2 linked regions of the Rhinolophus ferrumequinum genome follow. The protein of the gene in region 2 interacts with the protein of the main gene of each other region in a pairwise test. Links are inferred from orthologs where the notes say so. Each region holds a gene or a part of one and is shown on either strand. Other genes may lie near its edges.

The links.
Region 1: the proteins of TRIM42 (region 2) and KLHL38 interact in binary tests that used the Homo sapiens proteins (3 or more experiments, as listed by UniProt). The two-hybrid records come from large-scale screens. The link is inferred for Rhinolophus ferrumequinum from reciprocal best matches to the Homo sapiens genes TRIM42 and KLHL38.

What each region holds. Positions count from the first base shown.
Region 1 is NC_046297.1:60,903,706-60,911,111, forward strand, and holds the start of KLHL38 (kelch-like protein 38), read right to left. Parts: upstream 3,047-7,406; 5' UTR 2,826-3,046; intron 2,395-2,825; 5' UTR 2,187-2,394; coding exon 798-2,186; coding exon of another isoform or gene 773-797; intron 1-772.
Region 2 is NC_046300.1:39,337,250-39,345,280, reverse strand, and holds the start of TRIM42 (tripartite motif-containing protein 42), read right to left. Parts: upstream 3,090-8,031; 5' UTR 2,917-3,089; coding exon 2,576-2,916; intron 1-2,575.

The sequences.
Region 1 (7,406 bases), on a different chromosome or scaffold from region 2:
ACATTAGAATCTCCTGGTGACTTTTGTAAACCATAAATGTCAGGATCCCACTCAAAGAGGTTCTGACTCAGCAGATCTGAGGTCAGGTTCCAGGACACTTGGTAACAGACTGGACCCATGCTTCGGAATCTTCTTTTAAATCCTTACTGATTTGGGTTAGAAACACCCACCAAATTCCTATAGGACTTCACTATTTGACATTCAGTGTGTTCTACCTTGAACTTTTAGATATACCATTTTTTTCTCAAATAAAGTTAAACTCTTTGTGGATAGGGATTGTACCTGATGTACCTTTATATGAATTAATCTTACACAAAAAGGCTTTATAAATGGATAAAAATCTTGCTGAAATTAAACTTCCTTCCTTCTTCCTTCCTTCCTTCCCTCCCTCCTTTTTCTTTCTCTTGCAGATGACAAATGTGTGTATTATGTATGTGTGTATATATGTATGTGTGCATGTGTGTATGTATAGGTGTGTACATATGTGTCTATGTGTGTGCGCACCTATATGTGTATGTATGTACATTTCTGTATGTGTGTTCATGTGTATGTGTATCTATGTGCGTACATATGCATGGGTGAGTATGTTTCTATATGTGCATGTGTGTATGTATAACATATATTTGCACATGTGTCTCTGTGTGTATGTGCACCTATACGTGTATGTATGTACATTCCTGTGTGTGTATGCTGTGTGTGTGCGTGTGTGCGTATATATGCACGTGTGAGTATGTTTGTATGTGTGCAGGTGCGCACACTCTCGTGTACTTACACAACGGGAAGGACCAGCCATTTACCTGGATGAGGCGCACAGGGTTCTGCATAATGTCCTCTCCCCCGAAAAGGTAGAGTCTTTGGTCTTTCACAGCGACTGCAGGGTGGAGAACCTCCACTGGCATGCTGGCCACGCTCTCCCAGACGTTGCAGATGCTGTCGAATCTCTCCATGGAGCCCATGACCTCCTGCCCTTCTCCAATGCCCCCGATGGAGAAGATGAAGTTCTTATGGGCAGTGCTTCGGTGGGAGTAGCGGGCCGCCAGCATGGGCTGCCCCAGGCTCCACTGATTGAGCTTCAGAGAGAAGACGTAGACATTGTGACTGGGTACACTCTTCTGTGCGCCGACAGCCATGCCTCCCAGCACGTACACGCTGCGGTGCAAGGAGACGGCCGCCGCCTTGTACAGCCGGGTCGGGAGCTTGGCCAGGCTCTGCCATTGGCCAGTCTGCCTGTTGTACAGCAGAACGTCCCGGGTGGTCTGCTGGTTGTCCTTCCTTCCACCCAAGAGGATGAGGAAGTCTTGGTAAGAGTTTCTTGGGGGGATGTGCCACGGAGGTTGGAGGTCTGGGGCACTGGTGGCGCCATACAAAGGAAACATCTGCCTCTTGGCTGTCTCCAAGATGACCTGGCATGAAGGCGAGGACTGCAGGAGAGCGTCATTGGCAATGAAGTGGTGGAAGAAGGCCGGATGGATGTACTGAAGCCTGACCAGCCGGAACAGGTCCTGCATGTATCGTTTCCGGGCCTGGAGGTCATGCTTGATCCAAACCATGAGGGCCTCAAACACCTTCTCTTCCTCCCCACAGAGCCCGTCATCTCCCAGGTAGTCCCTCAGTTCCAAAGCACAGAGCTCCTTCAGGTCCGCCGATGCGGACACCTCTGGGAAGTACGTCAGGGCCACCTCCCTGGCTTTCTTCTTGAGGGTCTTGCAACTTAAGATCTCAGAGAGTCTGATCATGCCCAGGCAGTTGCTGGGGGTCAGCTGGCTCTGGAGGTAGGAGGAGCAGGCCTCAAACAGCTTGGGGTACTGAAGCATGGAGGCGGCTTCCATCAAAGGCAGAACGTTGTCAGCTGTGATGTGCACCGCCCCGGTGTACACATACAGGACGATCTGGTCCAGAGTCATGGAGTTGACGCCCTTCAGCTGGACTTTGGCCTCACTGCTCTCCCGGAAGTTGCTGCAGAACATGGCCCTGAAGTAAGGGCTGCTGGAGGCCAGCACATTTCGGTGGCAGGGGACCTCCCAGGCCCCAGCACAGATGCTCACATCAGTCAGGATGCTGTTTTGTCTGAAGCCATTGAGCTGCCTCAACAATTCGGAGGAGAAGTCATGGTCGTTGAAGAGCAGCCCATCTGGCGATGACTCATTCATCCTGCAAAGAGGGGAAGAAGTCCCACGAGGGAGCATGTGCTGGATGGAGGGTTTGGCTGTGGAGTCTCCAAGACCTTAGAGCATCTGCATCCTTTCTCCAAGACGCGTGAGGGTATCGCCAAGAAAATCCTGTAGTGAAGATTGGAAAGGGAGGCCACCTGCCCTCCAGACTTCACAGCTCACGCCTCTCCTTTTGGTTATGGTTCCTCTCAAAGGTAACAGGCAAACAGCATCTTCAGATAATCTGAGAAAAAACGAGCAAACAAACAAAAACAGTGAAGGCTGTTGGAAGTTACTCTATTGTCAGGAATGGAAATGTTAGCCTAAAGCAAAATGACAGTCTATGCGTTTGCCCACCAGAAGCCTTTCTCTAGATTCTCAGCCTATCTGTTATTTTTGTAAACTCATCCAAGCATCTTTCTGGGTGTTAGTCCTTCCCGAAGGGACGTCATTCTGGGGGCGTGGCCTTCTGCTAACTAGACAGGAAGGAGGGATAAAGTGGACCTTTGCAATGTTCTTTTTTCCCCTTGAGAATATGACTGCATGAAGTCTTTAGGGTTTTGTTTTCAAGATGGGATAAATAGGAAGCACAGACCCAAGAGTAACCTGGGCAGTGTTTATTGGATGATGCCTCACGGTCTACCTGTTGAAGAATGAAACGTCAGAGACATTTACCTTGTTTTGTGGCAGTACCATCCGCCGATGTCTGGTCCGGCTCGTCCCTCCAGAGTCTCCACCTCTGGCTCCAAGTGAAACCATAAACCCAGGCCTTTCCTTCAGTTGGCAAATGATTTGTCCTGGGAGAGTTCTGGATTTGTTTATGCTGAAGGCGCTTTCACAGTTTTCTAGAGCTTTGTGAAAGAACCGCTGGGCAGGGAGACAGTGTATACATTCCAGGGCTAAGAATAGTTGCATATGTACTTTCCACTGTTATGACATGTGACTTTCCAGTTGCCTTTTGCAGCAAGCCGAGGGCCTGCAGAGCCGGCGCATGCCCACGTGCCTTGTTTCTTTGGCAAGTGTTTACATCGGCATAAATAGATCCGAAGGAACGGCTTCTCTGAGACAGGACTTTGCTGCCCATTTGGAAACATCCCGAGTCCCGTGTCCTAAAAGTGCCTGGGAATTCTAGATGTCTGTAAACAGGTTGCTGTGACCTGGTGAGAGTCACTGAAGGTAGTTCTGGGTGCGCGGAAGGTGGCAGATGGTCCCAAGGGAAACCCAAAAGGGGGCCCAGGGGTGCTGTTTAATGGGTCTGTATTTCTCACCTGCCGGCCAGGATCATTGGAGAGGGCTGTCATTTCTTCCTCCGGGCTCTGAGATGATGGAATCCATGACAAAAGTTGTGTTCAATGTTTGTGAAGCACCCCCGCGTTTCCAGACTTGGAAGGACCAAACCTTGGTGGCTGCTCCTTCCCCCAGAGGCTTCTGTTTTAAAGTGGTGAGGGCAGCAGCCCTCCTGCACGACACACCTGCCTCTCTCAGAAAGTGCTGATTGGTTTTCCATTAGTTTTTACAAATAGGTTTTTGCTTTTTTGTTTTACTTTCCCGTTTTTTTTCCTGTCAGAAAGGCTTGAGATCGAGGCGGGAGGCAAGGCATATTGCTCTAGAGTGTGCCAGAAAGAGAGAGAGGGAGGGAGGGAGAGATGGAGGAAGAGGGAGGAAGAAGAAGAGAGAGAGGGGAAGGGGGGAGAGAGACAGAGGAGAAAAAGAAGGAGGAGGAGGAGGAAGGAGAAGGAGGGAGAAGAAGCAGGAGGAGAGGGAGAGAGGGAGGAAGGGAGAAGAAGGAAGGGGAGCAGGAAGAGGAGAATGATGACGGTTATGGAGTAGGATCAGCCCCGGGATGGGCTGCTGTAGACCTATGAGGATGACTGAGAGGGTCCCCGGGTCGGTCCTGCCCCTGCTTCCTGGGAGGTCCTGACTGAGGGCACCGGCAGTGAGTGACAGGGAAGCCTGGTGTTCTCTCCTCAAATCGCACTTTCATTTTTGTAACAGCCTACAGCCTCACGCACTGACTTTTCCCCTCGCTCCTGTCTCTTTCTCTCCAATAACCCTACCCTGTCACCACCAGAGTAATCCCGGGACAGGCAAATCAGAACCTGCCAGTTCCCTGCATCACGCCTTTCAGTGGCTCCCCAAGTCTGCAGAATAAAGTCCAGACTATTTAGCAGGAATCAGACTGGTCTCCTGTCCACCTCCATAACCGGCTTCGGCCACTTCCCTCTCCCACTTATATTTGGATTCTGGCTCCATCAGACGACTCGTAGGTCCTTACATGTATCTAGTCCCTGTTGGGGAGGCTGGGCTGGCCAGGCCTTTAGGGGACCACAGGGCAGGGTGGAAGGAGGAGTGTCTCTCATTCATAGTTGCAGGTCATAGAGTGGATCATCTTCCAGAGTACAGAAGGTCTAGGTCAGGCAAGTATATCCATAACATGCCACTGGGGCCGGGGGCCTAGAGGCCGGAATGAGGAGACCTGAGCCAAGGGGGGCAGAGACCCATGGAGATACAAGCGAAATGCTGGAGAGAGGAGCTGTTGGGATAGCTATCAGCGCTGGTGAGTATTCCTTCGCTTCTGAGCCATGCTGGTGATGTAATAGACGGGTAGCTAAATTCCTTAAAGGGCCTGTGTTCCTTCTGTTTCAAGCTTCTCAGTCCTCTGGACTGTGTCCGCTCCCTCTGCCGATTTCTAATATTACATGCCTCAGGCCTCGCTGCAATGGTGTTTACTTGACTGCGCCTCTCTTCTTGGAATGGCGGTGTCTGGACGGCGAGAACCTTGTCTTGATTTTCTCTCCATCCCAACTGCCTAGCCTCGTACCTGGCACGTGGTGGGTGAATTAGCCACAGTGCCTGCACTGGGCGTTAACAGAATGCAGACTAGGAAAAGAGAGGGAGCTCTGTGGGGTGAACTGCATGCCCCCGTGTGCTGAGTGGGTTTTAGCAGGGCTGCCGTGTACAGCTTGGCGCACGTCCATTAGACCACAATGCGACTGGTCGTCGGGAACGGCCCTGGATGGCCCTCGTTTTAATCAACTCCAATCACGTGATGAAGGGAAAAGTTTAAAATAATTGCTTCCTACCACGCAGCAAGAGTTAAGTTCAAGGTTGGGACCTACACTGAGGTCCTTCCAACCCCAAAGCTGGTGCTTTCGTCCTTGGCCGCCAAGACGGCACAAGGCAAAAAATAACTTCCTTGTTGCTCTGAAACGCCTGTCGTCTTATGTCTCTTGCAGCTGGTGAGCAAGCCCCGGGTTTGTTGTGAGGGCGGTAGCTAGGTTTTTCTGGGAGTGAACTAACATGGCGCCATCCTCTCTAGGGGAAACTTGGAGCTTCCCCAACATTCCCTAGCTAATTAGACCTTCTGGAATCCAGCCTGGTCAAGTGTTCAGATGAGCCCTGGTGTGCAGTGTCAATGTCTGACCAACTTTGATAAATTCTTTGGATTTTAAAGTTAAGAAAAAACAGGCCCCATTCCATTGGCCTGGCCTACTAGGAGACTTTGGGCCCAAAAGACACAAAGAGAATCTTGGTGTTTGCCTCCTAGCACACGCACATATAACACCAAGCCTTATCCAAAAAGCATCTGTGCCACCCACATGGAACCCCAACCAGCCTACTTTCAATTCATGAAAATATTTGTCTCAAAGATTTTTGTACTTTTGTCTTAACTTTACGTCCTGACCTTTTCTGGGAGGGTTTAGGGTGTGAACATATGGGAACCTTAAATAAATGAGGACATTCAGCTCTTTGCCCCTACTTTTGATGAAAATCATTATCCTAAGCAGTCAAGACTCAGGCTTTGAGGGCAGAAAGATTTGGGAGAATCTTGACGTTTCTTCTCAGCATCTGTGTGGTCCTGGGCAAGTTAACATGTTCCAGCCTCCGTTTCTTCATCTGAATGGGAATAACCATCTTTGTCATAGAAAACTAATGTGTGGGGAGCATCCAGTAAAGTACCTGGCACAGTTTAGGTTCACTGCACTAACTTATGGTTAGTATTATGGTTAGTGTTTACTCTGAAAATAATTTCATTAGATTCCAACAGTTCTCAGTGCCCAGTTTTCAGCATCTAATGCGGTCGCCTGCTCACTCTGGTTGTTTCCTGTGTCTTAAGTAATTGCTATGTTCCTCACTATCTACCCAGCCTCCAGGAGTCCTAGATTCCAGTCCAGGATCCGCCATGGACTGGCTGTGTGTCTTTAGACAAGTCACAAAACCTCCCTGTACTTACTTTCTCACCTTGCCAGGTGACCTCTGAGCCTCCCTCTTCCAGCTCGCCCTGTGGTTTGTGCCCTGAGGTGGCCAAAGTAGTGACTGATGGATGCTGAACCTCAGAAAAAGGGATTTTCTCAGAGCTTCTGCTCATCTCTGGCCTAAAGCCAGAGGCTTCCAGCTCATGCTCTTTATTATTTTGTCCTTTTATGTAAATTCAGAAGAACTTCCGTTTCCTCATAGAGTTTTGCATTGATAGTACAGGGCACTTTTACTTGGGAAACCTCGGTTTGTTTCCTGGCTGGGTGTGCTGGGCCTGAAATCCTGTGGACCGTCAACCTGGTTCAAGTCAGCTGCAGGTCTGACAGCTACAAGCAAGGAAGCCACGAACCATACATGTCCAGTCCTCCTAACACACTCGAGGCAAGGTGTCACTTTCACACTAACCAGTGACCACAGCTATCTGTTCCAAGGAACTGTGTTTCAAGAATGTGGAAATCTGCACTTAAAGGCCTAGTAAGAGCTCCTCGAAAACTGGAAGGTTGTTGTTCGTTGTCTTCAGAGACTCTCCTGTTCTCACAGTCAGCAGGTGAAGGAGAAAAATGAGGAGCAAATAAGGCCCCAGTGAACTGGGTCATTAAAAGCTGCAGTAAGGAACTTGCCTCTTGCTTTGTGATTTTAAAACTTTTCTATGTATGCGAGTGCCTGTCTATCGGTGTCTGTATCTGCCTGGCTGGGTGTATTTTTTAAGCAGCTTGTGGAAAGCTGAACAAGGACTTTGTACTCTAAACAATGGTGGCAAGTCAGCCTGCACCTTGATTCTGGGATGACCATGACAACTGTGCTCTGAGAGTTAAAAGCCTAACCCTGTTTTTACTAGGTCAGTAGTACAAATGACAGCATTCCCAACTCTTCCTCACCCCTGCTCCAGCACCAGAAAATATCTTCATATTTCCCCCCGCCCCACCCCCTGGGAAGGGCAAAGGAAAAAAAAGGGCTGACAGAGATGACATCAGGACTGTTGGTAGCTTGTTGGTATAT
Region 2 (8,031 bases):
GTCTGCATGAGATAATCCAAGCTAAGTCCTTAACTGCTGGTACCTAGTAAGCGTCCCTTAGATGTGGCCACTGTAATTACTACCGTCTACTATTAGCCCGCTGATGTCCACAGTAGAGGAAAGCAGTGGTCAAGAGCGTGAAAAGTGTGTGCTTCCCCTGTTTGTGGGGGTGTGTACATGTGCTTTGTCTAACATCTGAGGCTGCTTTCATGTGTTGTAAGAACTATGGACAAAGTAAAAGCACACTTGTAAAACTTAAGTGCATGTTCCAAGAAGCTATAATTGGGACAAAAGCAGTTTATGAAAATAAATGAATTAGCTGTGGGGATGGAGGTGTCAACACACGCACAGTTGTGACTCTTCCTGTCTCTTTGCCTCTGTTCAGATGAGTGACGTTTGGATTGATCTTGACATTGTGGCTGTGTTCTCTTCTGGTTTTGCCTTCTTGCGGTCCCTATGTGCCCCTGTCTCCTCCTTCCCCATTCCCGTGGTCAGGGACCTGTGTCTCAGAGCTTAGACAGTCAAAGATGCTGCCCAAGTGTACTGGAGCAGAGCATGTCCCTTGTGGAGACTCAGGCACCTGGAAAGCTCATCCCGTAGGATTTGGATGCTGGGCTCCCGGCCTGCCACCCACAATGTTCTCAGCCTGGTTCCCTCTCTGCCTTCTCAGGCTCCTACCTGGGCCCTGAAGGGGTCACTGGGAGGTACAAGCCCATTGTACATGTGGTACCTGATGGACCTTTCTAGTTTGATAAGGTAGGACTCTCAGGATCACGGTGTAACATAAAGGGAGACAATATGAGAAATCAGAAGAAGGGAGGGAAGGTGGTATTAGGGGAAGAGAAAGAGAGGGCAGAGCTAAGAGACAGGTGTTAATGGCCCAGGGAGCTGGGGTAAGGTGAAAAAGGAAGTGAGAAAAAGAGATGAATAAGGCAGAGAGGGGTGAATGAGACCAGAGTAAGGCAGGATGAGCAAGATGCTGGCCAGGAAGTACCACTGGGGAACAGGGCAGGCAGTAGTTCAGAAACCAGAAGAAAAGTCACCTGGAAGATAAGCCTCAGTGCCCCCAGAACCAACCTCCTGACACTTGCAAGAGCATCACTGACCATTTTTTTCCAAGCCTCAGGCTTAGATTTGGGCATTCAGTGGCTGTGGTTCCATGCCAAGATCATCACCTAGCCCAGCGGCCTTGCCTTCTTGCTCAGATATCTGGCCTCTGCTCCTCTGTATGGCTTTTCCCCTCTCCCAAATCCAGGCCCGTTCTCCTTGCATCTAGGTTCTCATTGTATCACCTGGCAAGTCTCTCAACTTCCCTCCGTGCCCCCTGCAAGCCATTCTGCATTTTAGAATCACTGGGGCTGGAGGGTGGAAGCTTTTACAATTCTGATGCCCAGGTTATATCCCAGACCAATAAAACCAGAATGTCTGGGTGTGGGGGCCAGCTATCAGTACTTTTAAGGCTCCCCAGGTGATTTCAATGCAAAGCAAAGTTTGGGAGCTCCTGGTTTAAGGCATCTTCCCAAAGCACCAATGTCATCCATCCTCTGTTAAAATGGGCTCAGTGAGTCTCCTGGCGGATGCACAGGAAATGGGGCAGTCAAGGGGAGTGTGGACGCTACTTTCCACACCTAAGAACTGCTGGGCCTGCGTCCAGAGCTGCTGGGTTCTCTGTTCACGCAAGGACCACGAGAGGTCCCTGAGCGGAGAGTAACACTTATGAAACATCTACTAAGTGCTGAACTGCAAAACGGCTTGGTCATATTCTTCACCTGAACTCACTAACCTTTGCTCACGGAATTGCTTTTCCGGTCCTGAAAGGCTTCAAACCTGCCTCTCCAAATCCTGTCATGGTGCTGAGCTTTGATCTTTCCTCCTCTAAGGAGTCTGCCTCTCATACTCCAGACTCCTCTCATGTGTGACATAGAAAGACGGGTTTGATCAGAGCAGGAAGAGGATATTTGATGCCTGACACAGAGGGTGAATGCTCCCAAAGAGTGGCTGAAACCCTCAGTGCCATGACCTCTGGATAGGAACAAAAAGAAGGCTGGCAGGAGTACACAGCTCTCTGGGGGCCTTCTGTAGGCCGTAGGGGTCAAAAGTGTCCTATGGAAGCGATTGCTTGTCCAGTAAGTGTTGCAGATATCAAAAGTTCAGAGGAGGCAGAGCAATTTATATTTTTAAATCACAAAGTATATGCATTACTTCTCATGCCACCGAATCGAGGCAGGGATTTTCCTCTCTGTTTTTGCAGTAGAGCCTTTTAAAGTTAAGAACACACAGACTCTGGGTTCAAATCCTGGGTGCTTCTGACTGACTGTCTGATCCTGGGCCACTTAACTTCTCTGAGGCTCAGCTTCCTCATTTGTGGGGTGGGTCTGGGCTGAGGGTGCCATGGGGCCATGCAGGCAGTGCCAGGCAAGTTGCTTAAGCACTGAGTATTGGCTATTACTGTTTTGTACCAGTGAGAGCTGAGGCTCAGGAGAGCACAGCGCTCGTTCACACAGCTGGCAGGGCGCCCCCCCCCCCCCCCGTGTTCCTGAGCCAATGTGGCCCACCTCCGGGGCCCGGCACTTACGAGGTACTGATGCTCCTCAGGCGGCCCTTATGGAAGGTGATGGTGGCATTGCGGCAGCAGTGGCTCTCGTAGTAGTAGCACTTGATGTTGCTGCTGGTCGTGCAGCAGCACTTGCAGTTCGGGTCATTGGCCCACGAGCAGCAGCACCAGTGGCAGTTGGGGTTCTCGGAGCAGGTGCAGTGGCAGAACTGGCAGTTCCGCTCATCTTTGTAAGGGCAGGGAAAGCAGGTGCAGTTCCGCTCTGACGTGAACAGGAACTTGCAGCACAGACAGGAGCACAGCCGTGGGCAGCATCTCTGCCACGTGCAACACGGAGAACAGACACACATAGCAGTCTCCATGGCTCGGTCGTGACGGTCACCTGCCCTCTTCCACGAGAATCCTGCTGTTAGTTCTCCTGCAGAGGGGTTCCTCTTCCCCCCGACGGGGCCGTCAGCTTGGAGGTTGCAAGAGGTTGGCTGTTATGAGGCCTTCGCAGGTGATGTCCCTACTAGGAAGTTCATGGGCTGGCATTTACATATATGGGCCTGAGGCCATTTGCTTATGTCACAATCCCTGTCTCCCCAGCATATCTCTATCCCATGTCTGGGAGGGTGAGCTCTGGGGGCTAGTGGCAGGTGCGCTGGGGGGCACACCATGCTTCCGTAGGACCAGCTCCAAGGAACAGTAAGGCAATGAGCATCCTGAAGGGTTAGCTGTCACCTGTCACTTTTCGAGTTATGGGGTGGACTTCAGAAGCTATTTCTCTCTGCTTTCCCTGCAACTTGGGCGAGTTAACTTGAGGCTATGTCTTTATAGGCCTCAAGGTCTGGATATGATTAATTGAAAAGTAGACTGACATGATGTTCGTCTCCTTGGGCTTTTTCTGTGTTCATAGAACTCTTTATTTGATAAGCAAAGCACAGCATTTACAAATAATAGCAATGCCACATTTAAGGCCATCGCCATTTGGAGAAAGAATTACAGAAAAAAAGATATTGGTTCACTTAGGCACTTCTTTCAGTAGTCATTGAGTTTGTCAGTTGCTGCGTTGATGATTTTCTTTTCTTTTTTCAAATTTCTCAAAGGCTTTCAAGGTTTTTCATTTCAAATCTGATGATGTTCATGACGCTTCATGTATTAACTCACCCTGAATATTTCTTGGCTTTTGCAGCTTCGTGGGGTTTGGCCGAGGCTCAAGCTATCTCCTACCCCGCCCCCCACCTTCCCACCTCATGTATCTTTTTACAAGAGGTCGGAACTCGACATGAGGAATTTTAACTTTTCTTTTAGTATACATGCAGTATGTCTAGAATGACCTTGTAGCATTTTAGGGGAGAATTTTCTTTCCAATTAATGCAGCTTGCAAAGATTAAAAGAACAGAGATTTCATGGCCATACCACCCTGTGGTATAAACACTGTCTTATTATTTTTCCAAAAAGAAGCAGAAGTAAGAGCTGAATTGGCTGTAGGAGTTTATTGCATAATTTATTATCTCTCTCTATGATTATCACCTTTATAATCGGAAGAGCATTCACTGAGAGCTGACTGTGCCAGCCACACATGGATTTTAGATTCCCACAAATGAAAATCCTGGTTCATAGGGCATGTGCTTTATTTTTTTGGATAGATACTACTAAACTACTTACTTGAATGTGCCTGTTTATACTGACACAAACAATATATGGGAGGTACTTTCCCCTGTCATGTTTTCCTAAATTCCCTTTTATCAATGTTTCTCTCTATTCTCCATGCACAGAGTTTAACACACTCCTGAATTTAAATATGTTTTCATCATTGATCTGCGCAAGCCTCCCTCTTGTCTTTTTATTTTTAAATATTTATTGAGATATAATTCATTTACTATTAAATTCACCATTTTAAGTTGAAAAATTCAATGGTTTTAAGTATATTCACAAGATTGTGCAACTATCACCACCATCTAATTCTAGAATATTTTCATCACCCCCCAAAGACTCCTTGTATTCCCTGCAGCCCCTGCAACCATTAAACTACTTTTTATTATCAATGTATTTGCTTATTCTGGACACTTCATATGCATGGAATCATATATAATAATATGTGGCCTTTGTGACTGTCAAATAAGCTGAAGTAATCCACACAATGGTGTGTATGTAACTATGTAAAAGAATGTGAAAGACTTCCGTTGACTGTTTCAAAGTGATTTCTAAAATATATTACTGAGTGCAAAAAGCCAGATATAGAAATGTGCGTATAATATGCTACCATTCATCTCAGAAAAGGTCTTACGTCATTGGTTTGTCTTATGATACATTAAGATAAACCGAAAACTTAGATTTATGAGGTAGTACAGGAATAAGGTCAAGTGGACTATATATCTTAATTTATAGGATTGATTTGAAAGCCACTTAAGTATTTCACATAATTATAAAATGAAATTGAATTAAAAAGAGAAATCCTAAAAATTAAGCAAAATGAAACAAGTGAACCTGTAAATTGAGTTGGTAGCATAACCATAGAAAGACAAATTATTTTGTTAGCTTAAAATACAGTAATTTGAGTGGTCATATGGTTCTCAACTTTTTCTGTCTGACTTATTTCGCTTAGTATGAGAATCTCAAGATCCCTCCATGTTGTCGCAAATGGCCGTATTTCATCTTTTCTTATGGCTGAGTAATATTCCATCTATGTGGAATATGAAACTGAGAGGAACAAATGAACGAGACAAACAAACAAAGAAACAAAAACTTATAGAGACAGACAACAGTTTGGTGGTTACCAAATGGTAAGGGAGAGAAGGGATGGTAGAAAAGGGTAAATATATGGTGATGGAAGGAAAACTGACTCTGGGTGGTGGACACACAATGCAATCAATATACGGATGATATATTATAGAAATGTACACTTGAAACCTGTATAATTTTTTACTAACAAATGTCACCCCAATAAATTTAATAAAAAATTAAAAAATACAGTAACTTGATGGTACATCCCCATCAAGTGGGGTTTGTCCCTAAGGACAAACAAAACAAAACAAGGAGAAATCTTAAATTCTCTCAGTAGTCATGTTGTCAGTGGGAGTCAGTATTGTTATTCTGAGAGTGTTGCGTGCGTCGTACAATAAAGCAAAGGAGGAATTCGGTTGTTGTCAATGAGAATCACAATTTTTGTAGTGGGAGAAAGGACATACAGATGGACGACGGCTGAAGTTAAGAAAACCTTTAGTCCTGAATTTGAGTTGGAAATAATCAGTATCAACTTGTGATGTCTTTTATCTGAAAAAAATATTTCTTAACTCTGGCCACTGAAATGGCCGAGAAACCCAGTGGTAATGAGCCCCGTTGTCTTCCAGGTTGTGGTCTCTGAGTATCACTCAGAGGAATCAGGGCTCTCGGAGAAACGGGTGATTCCAGGTCTGGGGCACAAAATGTGTAAGATAAACGGGTTCAGGTGTACATCTGACAAAACTGAACGGGTCCCCTCCAGCACCAGTTTACTTAGCTTTGCTAGAGGCTATAGAACAGAAAGGACAGTGTGCCAGCAGAGCAGGGTCAGGTGTGATGGCTCAGGTGTGAAGGAGATAGTGATATAGTGATGCCGTGATGTACTGGCCAGGTGTCCTTGCTAAGACTGAGGTACTCATTCCTCCGGTTGCCTGGAGGGTTGGCTGCTCACAGTTGGGAATTGTTTTCAGTACAGGGGAACTGCCTTGCCCGAGGTTATGCCCCTTTTCAAGGATCCTCACTGCTTAAATTGGGACAACTGTAAAGGGCCATCCCAGATACCAAGGAAGTCCTGCTGGGGTTCACAGTTGCATTCACATTGTAGTTTCGTTTTTCCCGCTTCACAGCCCTGTTTCCTTCACTTCCTAAGAGCCCTTCCCATTAAACTTCCTGTGCATAACTCTCCAGTCTCATAGTCTGTTTCTGGGGGAACCCAGTGCAAAGGAACGGGTATGGGAACTGTTCTGGCTCATAAGCCCCTTTCCCCCTCTGAGCCAATATGTTTGATTTCATCCCATGGGAACAGCTGCCAGGGGTCTTAGCAAGGGACATGCCCAGTTACAAGGATGCATTGCATTTAGAAAAGCTCAGACTATGGATTCCTACTAGGTGTGGATAGTTAATTCACAGTCCTCCTGGGCCAGGTGTAGTTTTCTAACCAGAGGTCATTTTTACCATAAGCAATGTTGCTTGGTAACATAGATGACATTCCACCTTTCCTGGGTTTCCAGGGGAACAGAGCTAAAAAGTTAACCCAAGGTCATTTTTTCATAGAGAAAGAGAATGAGTTTGCTAACCTTTTTTTTTTTTTAACAAGAGATTTGTTTTAATGTTCTACTTTTATTTATTTATTTATTTATTTATTTATTTATTTTATTGGGGACGGGGAACAGGACTTTATTGGGCAAATAGCGTGTACTTCCAGGCCTTTTTTCCAAGTCAAGTTGTTGTCCTTTCAATCTTAGTTGTGGAGAGTGCTGTTCAGCTTCAAGTTGTTGTCCTTTCAGTCTTAGTTGTGGAGGGCGCAGCTCAGCTCCAGGTCCAGTTGCCGCTTTCTAGTTGCACGGGGCACAGCCCACCATCGCCTGCGGGAGTCGAACTGGCGACCTTGTGGTTGAGAGGATGTGCTCCAACCAACTGAGCCATCTAGGAGCTCAGCAGCAACTCAACTCAAGGTGCTGTGTTCAATCTTAGTTGCAGGGGGCGGAGCCCACCATCCCTTGCGGGACTCGAGGAGTTGAACCGGCAACCTTGTGGTTAAGAGCCCACCGGCCCATGTGGGAATCGAACCGGCAGCCTTCCGAGTTAGGAGCACAGAGCTCCAACCGCCTGAGCCACCGGGCCGGCTCCAAGTTTGCTAACCTTTTATTCACATTAACAAAAAACCTACAAGTTCATGAAGGTAACTGAAACGAAACAAAAATCCCAACAACTCTCATTTAGACAGGATACTAGGAAACTTGTTATTTTGAAACCTGCTAAATAAAGGGACAGAAACATTTATCTAGACTTTGTTATATATGAACTGTGCCTCAGGATAATGAATGAGTTGATAAGCGTAATTTTTCTCTTTATAGAAATATCCCAGCTCATAAATGAGGAATGATGGAATTAAGACATCATCCACTTGCAACTCCTACTGAAGAGATGAATCTAGGCGATTCCCTCCGTGGCTGCTAACAGCACAAAAGAGAGACAACCAGGCATTGTGTGCTCCCTGATGGAAGAACACAACACTGCCCGTAAGTGTTCTTGCAAAAGTTCTAACCTGAATTGGATCACACTTCTAGATGTAACTACAAACTGTCGAGGGCAGGCGATGTTGTGGTGAGGAAACCTAAAAGTGCAGATTGTGGAAAACATACAGGACGAATGGCCGGGTTTCTTCAAAAGAAATATTGTAAGGGGGACACACACACACACACACACACACACACACACGGAAATTTATAAATTAAAAGAGACCTAAGAGACCATGTTAACCAATTGTA